Macaca mulatta: one gene and its partner. The protein of the gene in region 2 interacts with the protein of the main gene of each other region in a biochemical or structural test. Links are inferred from orthologs where the notes say so. Each region holds a gene or a part of one and is shown on either strand. Other genes may lie near its edges. The genes, in order: LMNB1 and TMPO.

Evidence for each region.
Region 1: the proteins of TMPO (region 2) and LMNB1 form a complex in vitro, tested with the Homo sapiens proteins (2 studies listed by BioGRID). The link is inferred for Macaca mulatta from reciprocal best matches to the Homo sapiens genes TMPO and LMNB1.

What each region holds. Positions count from the first base shown.
Region 1 is NC_133411.1:135,728,313-135,736,988, reverse strand, and holds the start of LMNB1 (lamin-B1), read right to left. Parts: upstream 4,117-8,676; 5' UTR 3,896-4,116; coding exon 3,537-3,895; intron 1-3,536. UniProt on the Homo sapiens protein: Lamins are intermediate filament proteins that assemble into a filamentous meshwork, and which constitute the major components of the nuclear lamina, a fibrous layer on the nucleoplasmic side of the inner nuclear membrane.
Region 2 is NC_133416.1:105,822,413-105,830,988, forward strand, and holds part of TMPO (thymopoietin), read left to right. Parts: intron 1-2,554; coding exon 2,555-2,713; intron 2,714-3,690; coding exon of another isoform or gene 3,691-5,213; exon of another isoform or gene 5,214-6,475; intron 6,476-8,576. UniProt on the Homo sapiens protein: May help direct the assembly of the nuclear lamina and thereby help maintain the structural organization of the nuclear envelope. Possible receptor for attachment of lamin filaments to the inner nuclear membrane.

The DNA of each region.
Region 1 (8,676 bases), on a different chromosome or scaffold from region 2:
TGGAAAAATGTTAACCTAGTATTCTATACCTAGCCCAACAGCCAATCAAGCATGAGACTAAACAAAGCTATTTTCAGACATACAGGAATCAGAAAGTTTACCTCCTGCCATCCTTTCCGAATAAATTACTTAAGGATGTTCTTCAACAAAATATGAAGAAACCAAGGAAAAGCAAAATACACCCAGGGTGGAGTGCAGTGGTGTGATCTCAGCTCACTGCAACCTCCGCCTTCCTGGTTCAAGCGAAGCCTCCTGCCTCAGCCTCCAGAGTAACTGGGATTGCAGGCGTCCACCACCACACCCGGCTAATTTGTGTATTTTTAGTAGAGACGGGGTCTTGCCATGTTGGCCAGGCTAGTCTCAAACTCCTGACTTCAGGTGATCTACCTGTCTGGGTCTCTCAAAGTGCTTTATAGGCATGAGCCACTGTGCCCAGCCAGGAAGCTGTCTTTAATAAGTTACAGGACGGCCAGGCGCGGTGGCTCACGCCTGTAATCCCAGCACTTTAGGAGGCCGAGGCGGGCAGATTACGAGGTCAGGAGATCCAGACCATCCTGGCTAACACGGTGAAACCCCGTCTCTACTAAAGAATACAAAAAATTAACCGGGCGTAGTGGCGAGCACCTACAGTCCCAGCTACTCGGGAGGTTGAGGCAGGAGAATGGTGTGCACCCAGGAGGCGGAGGTTGCAGTGAGCCGAGATTGCGCCACTGCACTCCAGCCTGGGCGACAGAGCAAGACTCCAGCTCAAAAAAAAAAAAAAAAAGTTACAGGACATCAGTACACAGCATACCTTCAGCAAAGAGAACTCTAGGGAAGAAAGTAGATTCATGTGATATATATTATGATTAGATATCTTCAAAAAGTCTGCAAACACACTGAGGGCAAATTTTTCTTAATCAACAAGAAAAACGAAAGGCTACTGAGGAATAAATCCATATTAAAAAAGTCATAATTCAAATGAGGAGCAAACTAAAACGTGGCATGTTTTGAGCAAATGATGGTATGCTGAGGGGGAAAGAAGAGTACACCTAATCCTGGCAATAGGAATATACATACAGTAGCAGAGACCTAAGAAAAATATAATCCCAGAACACTACTTACCCTGGGAGAATAGATACTGTCAACCCCTCAGACAGGCCTTCCTTAATCACACTAACCCTTCACTCTGCTTCATTTTTATTCCCTTAGCATCTGCTATTACCTAAACTGTATCACATACATTATTTCATTGATTCTAATACACATTATTCTCATTTTTTAACCCCACTGAAACCAGCATGCATTTTAGAATCCATACATTTACAACTAGTGTCAGCCAGGTGGCAGCCTTGTTACTGTGTGAAAAACCTGTGGATAACTCCTGGAAAGATTACAAAAGCGCCAGCATCAAAATGCTTCACATCACACAAAAGACAATCTTTATTTGCTTGCTGGGATACAGCTCCCCCACTACACTCTCAGCAACAAAGAATAGTACTTCATTTTTTTAAAAAATCTTCGTACCCTCTAACATAGAACGGTGACTGGTTCACAACAGATCATTGATCTGTGTGAATTTTTTTTTTAGACAGAGTCTCACTCTGTCACCCAGGCTGGAGTGCAGCGGACCATCTGGCTCACTGCAGCCTCTGCCTCCTGGATATCAAGCAATTCTCCTGCCTCAGCCTCCCCAGTAGCTGGGATTACAGGCGCCCACCACGACGCCCAGATATATATATACACACACATACATACATACATATATATATATATATATATATTTTTTTTTTTTTTTGAGACAGGGTCTCACTCTGTCGCCAGGCTGGGGTGCAACGCGCAATCCCGGCTCACTGCAACATCCGTCTCCTGGGTTCAAGCGATTCTCCTGCCTCAGCCTCCCGAGTAGCTGGGACTACAGATGCGTGCTACCACGCCTGGCTAATTTTTTGTATTTTTAGTAGAGACGGGGTTTCACCAATTAGGCTGGTCTCGAACTCCTGATTTCAAGTGATTCGCTCACCTCGCCTCCCAAAGTGCTGGGATTACAGGTGTGAGCCACCATGCCCGGCCCTGTGTGACATTTTAATATCTATGAAATCATGATGGGTCCAACAGGATGGTTCCTACACAGTTGGTCCTGGTGTTTTTATCTTCTTAGTGGTACAAATCTAATGGCAAGTCTTACAAGCAACGATATCTAAGACTTGAAGGAATTCAGTGGCAAAAAGTTGGAGAAACATGGAAACAACAGTGTGAGTGAGCTTACCGCTCATTTCAAAAGATGAAACCAAGGCTTAGTAAATCCAAGAAGCAGGGACAAAGAGTGTCAAAGTGAGAATAAGGTACCTCCAGAAATTTCAGTTGGCCGTGCTAATGGCGAGCACGAATTCCAGACCCAAATTTTGCAAATCTCTAAAGCATGACATCAACACTTGTTGCCTACTGATGACAGGCCATTTTGCTTATCAGAAAATCAAAATAAGGCCTGCAAAGGTCTGCAAGTGTATCCTTGTGCACTGGAATGAAAACTCACACTCGCTTAGGTGAATAATTACAAACTCTCCTTCGCTCAAACACTCAGCATTTACATAGCACCCTGTCACCTGCCCTGGTCTACTATCTGCACAATGGCCGACTAAGGGGTACTAAGCACGGTCCCTACCCGAAAGCCCGACTCTACTATGAGGCGGCAAAAGCTGGGGAGAGGGGGCCGCTGCCTGAGGGGTAGGCGAACCGCAACTCGAAGAACAGTGGCAGTAACATGCACAAACCCGGCTTTCCTTCCCTGCGCAGAACCACCTGAGGGCTCGCACCATCCCCGCTGAGACAGGACACCTTTGCCCTGAGAAAGCTAACCAGCTAGCAAACCTAACTTGCCTGAGGCGGGCTGGAGGCGCGCGGATCAAGCCCCGCCTCTCTCTCCCGCCCAAAGCAGGCGTAGAACCTTCGCAAAATGTCACAGGGCCAAGACTGAGCGCGCCAAAGTGGGACCCACCCCCAGGAGACGCGGATGCTCCGGGAAGGTCCCTCCCCTTCCTCCCTCTGCCCGCGCGAAGCTCATTCATTCTAGAGGCGGGCTGCCTGTCCTCCCCGGCCGGCCATCCTGGCACTACAAATCCGCTAGACGCTTTGTCTCGCGCCGGCCGGAAACCCGGGCGCGCACTCGAGCGCGCGTCCGCGCTCCAGTTCCCTGCACCTGGGGCCTGCGGGCCGCCTCTCCGCGCCGGCTCCCCGGGTTCGAGGTGCGAAAGCTGGCGCTCGTTCTCAGCAGTCCCAGGCGCGCACTTATCACGTCCCAGCGGGTATCCAAAACCTAGAAATGGGCATCACGGCCCCCATCGCTACAGTTCGAGCCCCCTCCGCGACCCCTGCCCCGCTATGAACTCTAGATTCTTTTTCCTTTTCTTTCCGGAGACCGAGACCCTGTTCCTTCCGAAGGACGCGTGCATCCTGGCCTCTGCACTCCCTCCCCAGGGCACAACCCGGTGAGCTGGCCGCCGCGACTGCGCCCCCGACCCTCCTTGGTGCTAACGCGGCAGCCAGCTAGCACTCACTTGAGGAGCAGCTGGTCGTGTTCCGCCTTGCACTTGCCCAGCTCGATCTGCAGCTTGGCGCGCTCGCGGGCCGTGTCGTCGAGCGCGCGTCGCGCGTCGGCCAGCTCGGTCTCGTAGAGCGCCTTGAGGCCAGTGAGCTCGCGGCCGCGCACCTCCTCGCGCTCCGTCACCTGCAGCTGCAGCGCGCTGTTTTCCGTCTCCAGGCTGCGCACCTTGTCGATGTACACCGCCAGCCGGTCATTGAGCTCGCGCAGCTCCTCCTTCTCCTGGAGCCGCGACAGCCGCGTGGGGCTCAGCGGCGTGGTGGGGCCGCCAGCGCGGCTGCCCGTCCGCGGCGGCACGGGGGTCGCGGTCGCCATGGCGGGCGGCGGAGACAGCGGGGAGGCGAGGCCGCGAGCAGGACCGTGACAAGAAGGGGACGGCAGGGGGCGAAGCGGGGACCGAAGGCACAAACCGGCGACCTGCGCTCGCGTCCAGACGCCGGCGTTTAGAGGAACGGAGAAGCACCTGGGATGGCGGGAGCTCGATTACAGCACAAAGGGCAAAGGCGCGGGGGGGGGTGGGACTACGAATCAATCGATCGATCGCGAAATGTCCTTTGTAAGAAAACACACACACCCACTCACACACGCACGCGGGAAAATGCAAGACGAGGGTGACTGGAGGCCAAGCAGGGTCCGCGCCGCCGCCGTCTCCTGCTCGCAGCACTTTGTTTCCTCTCAGGCTGCACGGAGCGGCGGGCGGGGGGAGGAGGGCCGGGAGGGGCGGGCTGGAGGCAAGCCGCGGGGGGCGGAGGTGGCGCGGGCCGCGGCGCCGCACACCCCAACATGGCCGGCGCGCCCTGGCGCCTCCACGTGACCGTCATCGGCCAATGGGGAACGGGCAGCGTGCTTCGGCGGCCCGGAGGCCGGGCCTGTAAATTTAAAATCTGGCACTCGGGCAACCGTCCGCTCGGCACGCCCGCCTGGGCGGTGCCCGGACGGGACTCAGGGCGGCAAGGAAGGACGCCCGGGACTGCCCACCCGCGCGGCCCTGGGCCCAGCGCCCTCCGGGCCCTCCCGCCGCCCCGCGGGGACCCCTTGGAGGGGCCGGGCCTGCGAAAGGCGGGAAGGAGCCCGGAGGTTTCCGGGGCGGATCTGCGCCACCGCCCACACTCGGCGGTTCAGGGAAATTCAAATATAAACGTTCCTAAAAGCCACACGCGAAACTCAGAGTCCCCGGCCACCGCGGGCGTGGTAACCTTATCCCCTGTTCCTGTGGAGGGCTCGGGAAACGGCTTGGAGGCTGGGACGCTGTGGAATTACGTAATAGGCACTTGAGTCCGGAGTTCCAAACGCACTGCTTGCAGGTTCCAAGTACCAGCCTTTATTTTTCTCTCGGGTGGAAAATTATATCAGGCAACTTCTTTCCATGAAATTGAGATCTGTGCGTCTTGAAGCCGACAGATTATTTATCACAGAAAAACCAGCAACCCTGATTTTAAATCATTTGCTACCAGTGTTAATGGGCGGTTCCTAATCCGTTTGTTTCTTAAGGGTTTGTAAAATCAAAAACAGCTCAGAAATGATACGATTAACATATGACGGTGAGTAAATATGAGCGCAAGCTGTTTCATACTCTTAAAATCAGATGCATAAAAATCTGAACGTGGAAATTTAAGATGAAATAATTTTTTGCTTTTAAAAAGAGGCTCCCAAGATGTCACTGGCAGCTACTTCTAATAGAAAGCACATTTCATCCCTTTGAAAAGTTCCTAATTTTTAGGCTAACGTTTATTGGGACTGAGTGCCAGCACTAGGCTTTTCATGGATTACCCATCCACACAACCGCCGTGTGATATAGGAAACTGGATTGTATCTGTTTGAAAATTCATCCGGACGGGCGCGGTGGCTCACGCCTGTAATCTCGACCCTTTGGGAGGCGGAGAGGTGGGAGGATCACCTGAGGTCAGGAGTTCAAGACCAGCCTGACCAAGATGGTGAAACCCCATCTCTACAAAAATTAGCCGGGCATGATGGCGGGTGCCTGTAATCCCAGCTACTTGGGAGACTGAGGTGGGCGATTCCCTCGAACCCGGGAAGGGGAAGTTGCAGTGAGCCGAGATGGCACCATTGCACTCCAGCTTGGTGACAGAGACACCGTATTCCAGCTTGGGTGACAGAGACACCGTCTGAAAAAAAACAAAAAAAAAGCATCCATTTTATAGCTGCCCAGCAGGCGACAGACGGGACTGCTTTTGACAGGTCCCAGGATTCTAATTGACTCGAATCTGGCCCTTAACTATACCCTAGATGGCCACCTTATCAACTGTTAGGAACGCTTCTGTAATTAATGGTTACTTACTTTAAAAATGGCAGAAATGAAGACCAGGATATTCTTTTAACTATTAATCAAGTCATGTACATAAGAATTAGTGAAGAACACTGGGAGCTGCATATTCATCACAGATGAATTTCTGGCACTCTGTGAATTGTGACCATTCTCCTTATTAATGGTTCTATTTCCTGTCCGGTTTCCTGAAATATCTTCTTTCTTTTTTTGGGGGGTGGGGGAAGGGTGGCAGGGAGACGGAGTCTCGCTTTGTCGCCCAGGCTGGAGTGCAATGGTACAATCTCGGCTCACTGCAACTTCCACCTCCTGGGTTCAAGCGATTCTCCTGCCTGGTGGGACCAGCGCCACCACAGTCGGCTAATTTTTTGTATTTTAGTAGAGACGATGTTTCAACGTGTTGCCCAGGCTGGTCTCGAACTCCTGAGCTCAGGCAATCCGTCCACCTCGGCCTCCCAAAGTGCTAGAATTACAGGCGTGAGCCACCGCGCCCGGCCATGAAATACCTCCTTTCTTAACCTCGTTGAGAATTTAAGAACCGAAAAGCTTCGACTTTAAGTATTCAAGTAATCTTAAAAGGAACTTTAAAATCTAAATTACTGATGAGAAAACCAGCCGGGCGTGGTGGCTCAGCCTGTAATCCCAGCATTTTGGGAGGCGGAGGCCGGCGGATCACCTGAGGTCAGGAGTTTGAGACCAGCCTGACCAACATGGAGAAACCCCGTCTCTACTAAGACTATAAAATTAGCCGGGACTGGTGGCACATGCCTCTAATCCCAGCTACTCGGGAGACTGAGGCAGAAGAATCGCTTTAACCTGGGAGGTGGAGGTCGCCGTGAGCCGAGATCGTGCCATTGCACTCCAGAAGCGAAACTCATCTCAAAACAAAAAAAAAGAAAGAAAAGAAAATGGGGATGATTTCTACTTGCACAGGATTTGTGTAGATTTAATAAAACAATTTATGCAGTGCGTTAGACATATAACATGTGAAGGCTAAATAGTAACTCTTACTAATAGTAATCATGTGTTTCCAGTCAAAACCAAGAAAAAAGAATGGAAAATCTTGAAGCCTTAGCATTAGGTAATTGTGGCCGGGCATAGTGGCTCACATTTGTAATCCCAGCACTTTGGGAGGATGAGGCAGGTGGATCACTTGAGGCCAGGAGTTTGAGACCAACCTGGCCAATATAGTGAAACTCCATCTCTACTAAAAATACAAAAAATTAGCTGGGCGTGGTGGCAGGCACCTGTAATCGCAGCGACTTGGGAGGCTGAGGCAGGAGAATCGTTTGATCCCAGGAGCTGGAGGTCGCAGTGGGCCCAGGTAGCGCCATTGTATTCCAGCGTGGCAACAAGAGCAAAACTCTGTAGCAAAAAAAAAAAAAAAACACAAACACACACACACAAGAATTAGACAATCGTGCACATTTTTAGTCAGGTACTTTACAAAATATACACTTTCCTTATTCTCTAGGTGTTTCCCATACCTAATGCTAAACCTGGAATATGGCCTTCTGTACTCTCATACTAAGTGAGTCAAGCTCCCTTTATTCAAGTAATTCCTGAAATCTTATCCCTCCAAAGTTTCCCCAATGAATTGGAAGTAACAAGTTGTAAGTTTGTAAGTGACAACCCTTCTGCATTTATTAGGATAGTGGTGATTTCAAATCTCCTGCCTTTGTTTTCACTACACACCTCCATTTACTTGTCAGGGCACATGTCCTCATTATTGGTTAGACCATATATAACCCCACCAAGTCTCAACATGCCATGCCATCATTTCCCTCGCCTATACTCCTCCCACAACTACCTCACTACATATAAAGAACTCAATTGACATTTGTCCTGCTTTATGTATGTCATTTGGATCTGGGACAGAAAAATATAGGATACATAAGACATCTGGGGAGAAGGGGCCATACTAGGATTGGGTGAGAAGAAAGGGGGAGGAGAGACTGAAAGCTTAGCAGTAACCCACTTTTGTCTCCGGAGAGGGGAGCGACAGCTGGCAGATAACTGAGTATACATTGCAAACAAATAGGATAGCTAGGACTGTGACACAAAATGAAACAAAAAAATTGCTAAATGATATCTCTTCAATATATGTTTGCTGAATGGATGAATGAAAAAATAACTGAATACATGATGTCCTGGGACAGGTTGTTTGACTAAATATATTTTACAAACTTGATACTTTTTCCAGTTATTATAAAAGTGTAGGCATTATGTTTTAGAAGGTTGAGTGATTATCCAGAATGTCTTCCAAGTCTGATTTTGATTTTCGTGTTTAAAAAAAAAAAAGCTTAGGAGTTTTAAAGTATATTTACCATCTTTAAGAGGATTGTTCTTATAGCACAGCCACCTGAAGGTTTTATACTGCTCAAAATTGTTATTTTTTTATGTGTATATATATATAGGTAGGGGTTTTAAATTTTGAAAATAAGAACAAAAATTTTAAAATTAAAAAAAAATAGGGGTGAATGGCTGGGAGCGGTGGCTCACGCTTGTAATCTCACGACTTTTGGAGGCTGAGGCGTGCGGATCACCTGAGGTGAGGAGTTCAAGACCAGCCTGGCCAACATCGCGAATCCCCATCTCTACTAAAAATACAAAAATTAGCTGGGTGCGGTGGTGGGCGCGGCACCTGTAATCCCAGACACTCAGGAGGCTGAGGCAGGAGAATCACTTGAACCCAGGAGGCAGAGGTTGCAGTAAGCTGAGATCATGCCATTGTACTCCAGCCTGGGCAATGAAGCAAGACTCCGTCTCAAAGAAAAAAAAAAATATATGGGTGAAGGAGAGTCGAGTGACA
Region 2 (8,576 bases):
AATACACTGGATTTCCATTGTTGGATTACTTTTAGGTGATGAAGATTTTGCAGTGTTGATTATGCCTTAGTTTTGGAGTGTCTTAGCAATAACCGCAGGATGAGAAAATTCCATTTTGATGGTTTTTTTTTTTTGAGAAAAGGTCTTGCTCTGTTGCCCACACTAGAGTGTAGTGACGCAGTCGTGGCTTACTGCAGCCTCAACCTCCTGGGCTCAAGCAGTCCCACCTCAGCCTACCAAGTAGCTGGGAACACAGGCATGTGCCACCATTCCTGGCTAAATTTTGTATTTTTTGTAGGGATGGGGTCACACTATATTGCCTAGGCTAGTCTTGAACTCCTGGGCTCAAGCAGTCCTGCCACCTAGGCCTCCCTAAGTCCTAGGATTACAGGCATGAGCCATTGCATCTGGTCTTGATCTTCTAAGTTACATAAAATTGTGGACACTAGAGATTTGGTAGGTTTTGCTGTAGGTATAGTTGCAAATAAGGATTTGGAATATTTTGTTTTAATGTATAAGCTGCTTCCAAATAATCATAAGTTTATTCATGTACAATTACCAACAGATATATAACACTTTTAAAAAATTTTTTGTTTAAAGTTCTAAAAGGCCTGGGCATGGTAGTTCATGCCTATAAATAATCCCAACATTTTGGGAGGCCAAGGTGGTGGAATTGCTTGAGCTCAGGAGTTGAAGAGCAGCCAGGGCAACATAGTGAACCTTGTCTCTATTTTTTAAAAAAATTAGCCAGGCATGGTGGTGCACATTTGTAGTCCCAGCTACTCAGGAGGCAAAGGTGGGAGGATTGCTTGAGCCTACAAGTTGAAGGTTGCAGTGAACTACGATCACACCACTGCACTGCAGCCTGGGCAACAGAGCAAGACCTTGTCTCGAAAAAAAAAAAAAGAAATTCCAAAAGAGAGACACTGAAAAATGTGTGTTATAATGTCAGCCTACATTAAATGATATGTTGATATATGACCTGTTCATCTTAAAGCTATTTCTATAACACTTCTGGACACATGTTGCTTCTAAAAAATATCCATTGTCATTTTGCTCATCTTACAGAAGTTAAGGAAAGATATACAGTTAGTGTAAGACAAAATCTATTTTGGTTTTAAACTGCCACTGATGTTCCAATGTGTTAAGAATTTGTAATCAGTTTTGCTTTGTGATATGTGTTTTCCATAAAAGGTCATTTTAACTGCAAAGTTAAATATTTAAATCTGATTTATAGAACTTTTCTTTTCCCCATAACTGAATACAGGCATATTAATGCCTTAGAGTTGTGGAAGTTTAATCATAGTTATTTTTCATAGAGGTACAATCCGCTTATATGTGATTTTTCTATGTTGGCAAGTACTATTATGTGGTAGTAGAGAAAATACACAAGTGCAAGACTTCAGTCAAAAATAGTCATACATGGCTTTTCAGTAGATGGTCTACAGTAAGGCCTATATTAATTTACTATGTATTTCATGCTATTAAAAGAAATGTCGTTTCCAAAAAAAAACCACCTATTATAAAAACAGTGCATTATATAGTTCTGTAGAATGCAGTGGTGCGATACCAGCTCACTGCAGCCTCTACCTCCTGGGTTCAAGCAATTCTCCTGCCTCAGCCTCCTGAGTGGCTGAGATTACAGGCGCCCACCACCAGGCCCAGCTAATTTTTTGTATTTTTGGTGGAGATGGGGTTTCACCATGTTAGGCTGTCTTGTCTTGAACTGCTGACCTCAGGTGATCCACCCACCTTGGCCTCTGAAAGTGCTGGGATTACAGGCATCAGCCACCACGTCTGTCCTTTTGTTTGTTTGTTTGTTTGTTTGTTTGTTTGTTTGAGATGGTGTCTCACTTCGTCGCTGGACAGTGGTGTGATCTTGGCTCACTGCAACCTCTGCCTCCCAATTTCAAGTGATTCTCCTGTCTCAGCCTCCCAAATAGCTGGGATCACAGGCATGTGCCACCACTCCCGGCTAATTTTTGCATTTTTAGTGGAGATGCAGTTTCACTGTGTTGGCCAGGCTGGTCTCGAACTCCTGACCTCAAGTGATGCACCCGCCTCAGCCTCCCAAAGTGGCGGGTTTACAGTCGTGAGCCACTATGTCCGGCCGCATTATATAGTATTTTTAAGAACTTGAGTTTAGCCGGGTGCGGTGGCTCAAGCCTGTAATCCCAGCACTTTGGGAGGCCGAGACGGGCGGATCACGAGGTCAGGAGATCAAGACCATCCTGGCTAACACGGTGAAACCCCGTCTCTACTAAAAATACAAAAAAACTAGCCGGGCGAGGTGGCGGGCGTCTGTAGTCCCAGCTACTTGGGAGGCTGAGGCAGGAGAATGGCGTGAACCCGGGAGGTGGAGCTTGCAGTGAGCTGAGATCCGGCCACTGCACTCCAGCCTGGGTGACAGAGCAAGACTCCGTCTCAAAAAAAAAAAACTTGAGTTTAAAAAAAGAAAGAGTGAAAATAGCTTAAAATGTTGCTGAGTATAGTGTCTGAGCTGCACCCTAAATGAAGCAATACAAGTACTAAAGCAAATTCTGCCTTAATCCAGGAACAACCAGGAAGCTGTATGAGAAAAAGCTTTTGAAACTGAGGGAACAAGGAACAGAATCAAGATCTTCTACTCCTCTGCCAACAATTTCTTCTTCAGCAGAAAATACAAGGCAGAATGGAAGTAATGATTCTGACAGATATAGTGACAATGAAGAAGGTAAAATTTTAAATGATGTTAATCAAATGTATGTAATTTTTTCACACTCAAAATACAGTGACCATGAAGAAAGTAAAATTTAAAACAATATTGACAAGATATACAAATTTTATTCATGTCATTAGAGTAATTCTGTAATTTGATTTAAATACTTTTTATTGAAAATTATAAGAAACAACATAGTACAAATTTATAATTTTCTGTCACCTGAAATTGCAAGTTAACTTTGTCTTTTTTGCTTCAAACCCATTTTTCTGAGAGAATAAAGTATTACAAGTAAAGGCAAAGTTCCTTGTACTTATCTGTACCTGTCACCTCCACAGAAGTAACTACTAATTCAATGCCCATCTTTCAAGTTTGTTTTTATATTTCACATACACATCTGTCTAATACATGGTATTATTTTATACTTTAAGAATACAAAATTTATATAAACAATATGCTAAATCTTATCACTTGCTTTTTCTTACTCCTTTATTTTTGAAATATAATCCAATTAGTTACATATCTGTTTATTCCGCATAATACATAGTAGCATTTAAATATGGCATATTTTCTCTATTCTCTATTGATAGGCATTTAAATTGTTTACAGTTTTTGTTGATCTGACCTGAAGGCAACTTTAAAGCAAATATTTTGACTACATTTTTAGTAGACTAGATAGTATCTTAAAATTTGATTATGATGTTGAAATATTTTTTGAGGATAGGACGTGAAATAAATGTCCTTTAAAAATTGTAAGTACAACTTGATTTTTGTAAACTTTTAATTCATATGACTTGTGGTTATTTATTTTGATCCAGATTGTTTATATCTCAATAAGCTGTGTCTACCAGGGCAAATCTGGCAGATTAGTTCAGAATATTAAATTATAGAGTCTTTTCCTTTGACAGCACTATTTTTAGCAAAGAGGCAAAGAATAAAATCAGCTCAAACACAGGTAATGCTTAAACTTCCTGCCTCTTTTGCCTCTACAGGAAAGAAGAAAGAACACAAGAAAGTGAAGTCCACTAGGGATTTTGTTCCTTTTTCTGAACTTGGAACTACTGCCTCTGGTGGTGGATTTTTTCAGGGTATTTCTTTTCCTGAAATCTCCACCCGTCCTCCTTTGGGCAGTACTGAACTACAGGCAGCTAAGAAAGTACATACTTCTAAGGGAGACCTACCTAGGGAGCCTCTTGTTGCCACAAACTTGCCTGGCAGGGGACAATTGCAGAAGTTAGCCTCTGAAAGGAATTTGTTTATTTCATGCAAGTCTAGCCATAATAGGTGCTTAGAGAAAAGTTCTTCGTCATCTTCTCAGCCTGAACACAGTGCCATGTTGGTCTCTGCTGCAGCTTCTCCTTCACTGATTAAAGAAACCACCACTGCTTGCTATAAAGACATAGTAGAAAATATTTGCGGTAGAGAAAAAAGTGGAATTCAACCGTTATGTCCTGAGAGGTCCCATATTTCAGATCAGTCGCCTCTCTCCAGTAAAAGGAAAGCACTAGAAGAGTCTGAGAGCTCAAAACTAATTTCTCCGCCACTTGCCCAGGCAATCAGAGATTATGTCAATTCTCTGTTGGTCCAGGGTGGGACAGGTAGTTTGCCTGGAACTTCTAACTCTACACCCCCACTGGATGTAGAAAACATACAGAAGAGAATTGATCAATCTAAGTTTCAAGAAACTGAATTCCTGTCTCCTCCACGAAAAGTCCCTAGACTGAGTGAGAAGTCAGTGGAGGAAAGGGATTCAGGTTCCGTTGTGGCATTTCAGAACATACCTGGATCCGAACTTTTGCCGTCTTCTTTTGCCAAAACTGTTGTCTCTCATTCACTCACTACCTTAGGTCTAGAAGTGTCTAAGCAGTCACAGCATGATAAAATAGATGCCTCAGAACTATCTTTTCCCTTCCATGAATCTATTTTAAAAGTAATTGAAGAAGAATGGCAGCAAGTTGACAGGCAGCGGCCTTCACTGGCATGCAGATATCCAGTTTCTTCCAAGGAGGCAACACGGTTATTATCAGTTCCAAAAGTAGATGATGAAATCCTAGGGTTTATTTCTGAAGCCACTCCACCAGCAGGTATTCAAGCAACCTCCACTGAGTCTTGCGATAAACAGTTGGACTTAGCACTCTGTAGAGCATATGAAGCCGCAGCATCAGCATTGCAGATTGCAACCCACACTGCCTTTGTTGCTAAGGCTATGCAGGCAGACATTAGTCAAGCTGCACAGATTCTTAGCTCAGATCCTAGTCGTACCCATCAAGCACTTGGGATTCTGAGCAAAACATATGATGCAGCCTCATATATTTGTGAAGCTGCATTTGATGAAGTGAAGATGGCTGCCCATACCATGGGAAATTCCACTGTAGGTCGTCGATACCTCTGGCTGAAAGATTGCAAAATTAATTTAGCTTCTAAGAGTAAGCTGGCTTCCACTCCCTTTAAAGGTGGAACATTATTTGGAGGAGAAGTATGCAAAGTAATTAAAAAGCGTGGAAATAAACACTAGTAACATTAAGAACAAAAAGACACCTATCTTATATTTCAAACTTTTATGCCAACATTTTCTTTTCTGTTAAGGTTGTTTTAGTTTCCAGATAGGGCTAATTACAAAATGTTAAGCTTCTACCCATCAAATTATAGTATAAAAGTAATTGCCTGTGTAGAACTGCTTTTCTTTTTTAAAGATTTGCATAGGTAGGAAACCTGGTACAAACAATTTAAAGCTTTCTAGATCACATATTAGTCTCCAAATTGTTTTCTATTTCCTGCTTTACGTATGCTTTTACAATTCTCCAAAACTAAGAAAATTCTAATTAGGATATAAGGAGTCTTTACTGTTTAATAGAGTAATATGCATCCTCCTTTATACCTAGGACAGGTTTAAACGTTTGTTACACATTCAGAACAGTGATTTTGTTCTTTTTGATATTTTTATCTCAGTATCTTTTCACATTCCATAACTTGTCCATATTTTTGCTCATATTTTGTTGCTTTTGTTTTTTTACTCATGTCTGCAACAGCAATCATAGTAGTCTAGATCAGTGCAACTCAAACTACCAGTCTACGAACTGTTACTTATCCACAGGCAAGATAAGCATGCACAATAATTTAAATCTAAAGATACTTTTTAAGTCAATGACAGGATTTATTTTTTAGCAAAATTGTATTAATAGCTAAAGCAATGTATTGATTTACACTCTGATGCAAGTAATGTATCTCTTCATTGACTGGTAGCAACCAATTCATGGACCAGTACCATGGACCACACTTTGAGAAACACTTCTTTGGATAATAATAGATATCCTGGGATAGTGCATGTTCACCGTCTATTTTATCAGATAATGGGGCTTTTTAAAAAATACTACTTTGCTTTCATGATATATTGTATTTTGTGGAAAGTTAAGTTTAACAATATAGACTCTAAAAGCAAATTTAATTTGTTTAAAGCCATAAGAAATATACTATATCCCAGTATCTGTGTGTCTGTATAAAGCATTGTATTATCATCTTTTAATTTCTATGATTGTAAGATAAGAATCTAACTGCAGAGGTATTGTGGAAAATAGTAGCCTTAAGCATAATAAAATATGGTCTCTTGGGTACTCCCTCTGGCCATTACCACATTCTTAGATTATACATGTCCCTCTTTGCAACTTTCTGAGAGTAATTTTATTTGTTGTCTTCTGAAATGTACATGTATACATGTACCTATTGAGTGCTGTGTGATTTTTAAAAATGTATTACTGTAGAATGCTTCTGCAAATTCAATAAAAGTTGTTAAATTTGAACAGTGTTGTGTGGTCTCCAGAAACATGTTGTTATGTGTGCTTTATTCTTGGAGTTGCAACAAGTTAAACATTTGTATATGAACACCCTTTTTCCATTTCATCATTGAAACTCACTCTGACATTTCAGCGGTATGATTGAAAATACTCTGATTATTGTATGGTTTTTCTTCTGTTTGAGGACCATGTTTTTATTGACTGTTGGAATTTAAATTTATAAGAGGAATTGATCTGTAACCAGATACTTTATTTGTTTAATTGATTTCTGCTCCACTACTGATGGTTTTTTTTTACTTTGTGCTTTCTAGTTCTTAAAATCTGAGTTAACAAAGCCTAAAGTAAATTTTATATTGCTGGGGGTTGTATCAAACGTAGATATATTGATAGGGCCATTGATAGAAGTGTTGGGAGATAGACTTGAAATCTTAGTCCTAAATATTGAACTGTTTAAACTAACATGATAAAAATCACTGGTTTTTTTTTTTTGGGAAACCTGCAACTATTAAATAGATTCTGGACTAACTAATATTAACAATGGAAAGAGAGCAAGACACATATAGATGTCTAACACTTTTTTGCACAGGTTCATCATGGAGTTCATGTAAAACTTTAGAATTGACTTCCTTTCTGTCTCTTTGATAAAGTAATCTAATTTTTTTTTTTTTTTTTTTTTTTTTTTTTTTTTTTTTGAGACAGAGTCTCGCTCTGTCGCCTAGGCTGGAGTGCAGTGACTGGATCTCAGCTCACTGCAAGCTCCACCTCCCAGATTTACGCCATTCTCCTGCCTCAGCCTCTCGAGTAGCTGGGACTACAGGTGCCCGCCACCTCGCTAGTTTTTTTGTATTTTTTAGTAGAGAAGGGGTTTCACCGTGTTCGCCAGGATGGTCTCAATCTCCTGACCTCGTGATCCGCCTGTCTCGGCCTCCCAAAGTGCTGGGATTACAGGCCTGAGCCACCGCGCCCAGCCTTAAATTTTTGGTAGTAGAAGTTTTAGAAGTAATCACTGACTTGACTTACTAATTTTGCTATACCATGATAAATGTCTACAAAAAGGAGGAAATTTTTTTTTTTAAGAGGAAGTCTCGCTCTTGTCCGCAAAGCTGGAGTGCAATGGCGTGATCTCGGCTCACTGCAACCTCCACCTCCCGGGTTCAAGCGATTCTCCTGCCTCAGCCTCCCGAGTAACTGGGATTACAGGTGCCTGCCACCACGCCTGGCTGATGTTTATATTTTTAGTAGAAACGGGGTTTCACCATGTTGGCCAGGATGGTCTTGAGCTCCTGACCTCAGGTGATCCGCCGGCCTCAGCCTTCCAAAGTGCTGGGATTACAGGCGTGAGCCACCACGCCGGGCCAGGGATGTTAACTAAAATCAGTCTTTTCAAAACCTAGATTTTCAAATGATAATGAATTTAAGACTAGGAGACTGGAATATTGAAGCCTATTAAAAAATACATATCCTTGCGTTGTTAGGTTAATAATAACTATCATGGTGACAAGTCAAGTAATATATAAATATTGGCTTCTCTTCAAAGAAATGTTATTTTTATTTGAAGAAATGGGACGAGACCTGTGATTGGTCGTATTCTGTGAACAAGATTCATTACCTGAGTTGTACCTAGGTTTTTTGTAACTACATCAAAAAAACTTTTATACTGTACTTACTAATGTTATGGCAGTTATTTATTGTTATAGAAGCTTGGTATACTATATGGGTTTTTTCATTTTTAAAATTTCCCTTCTGTGTTCCAAATTTTAATTTAGTAAGCCAACCTTTGCTGTACAGTAGTAGTATACTGTATGGACAAAACAATGGTAACAACTATGTATTTTAAGTGGCCTTTTTCCACATCTAAATTGTTCTTAGTGAAAAGCTTTCGTGGGAGCATTTTGAATTCACTTCATGTTCAAAGCTATTAGTCCCAGATAAAGGAAAGGAGAATAGGAGGAAGTGGTTGTCAGATGAAAGGGTAAGGGAGATAAGCAAAAATGGGATAAATAATGAAACAGTTTTCAAGACAAATTGCAGTTAAACAATTTTGGACTAGTGAGGTATTACCAGTAGACTCGTTTTTTACCTTTTAA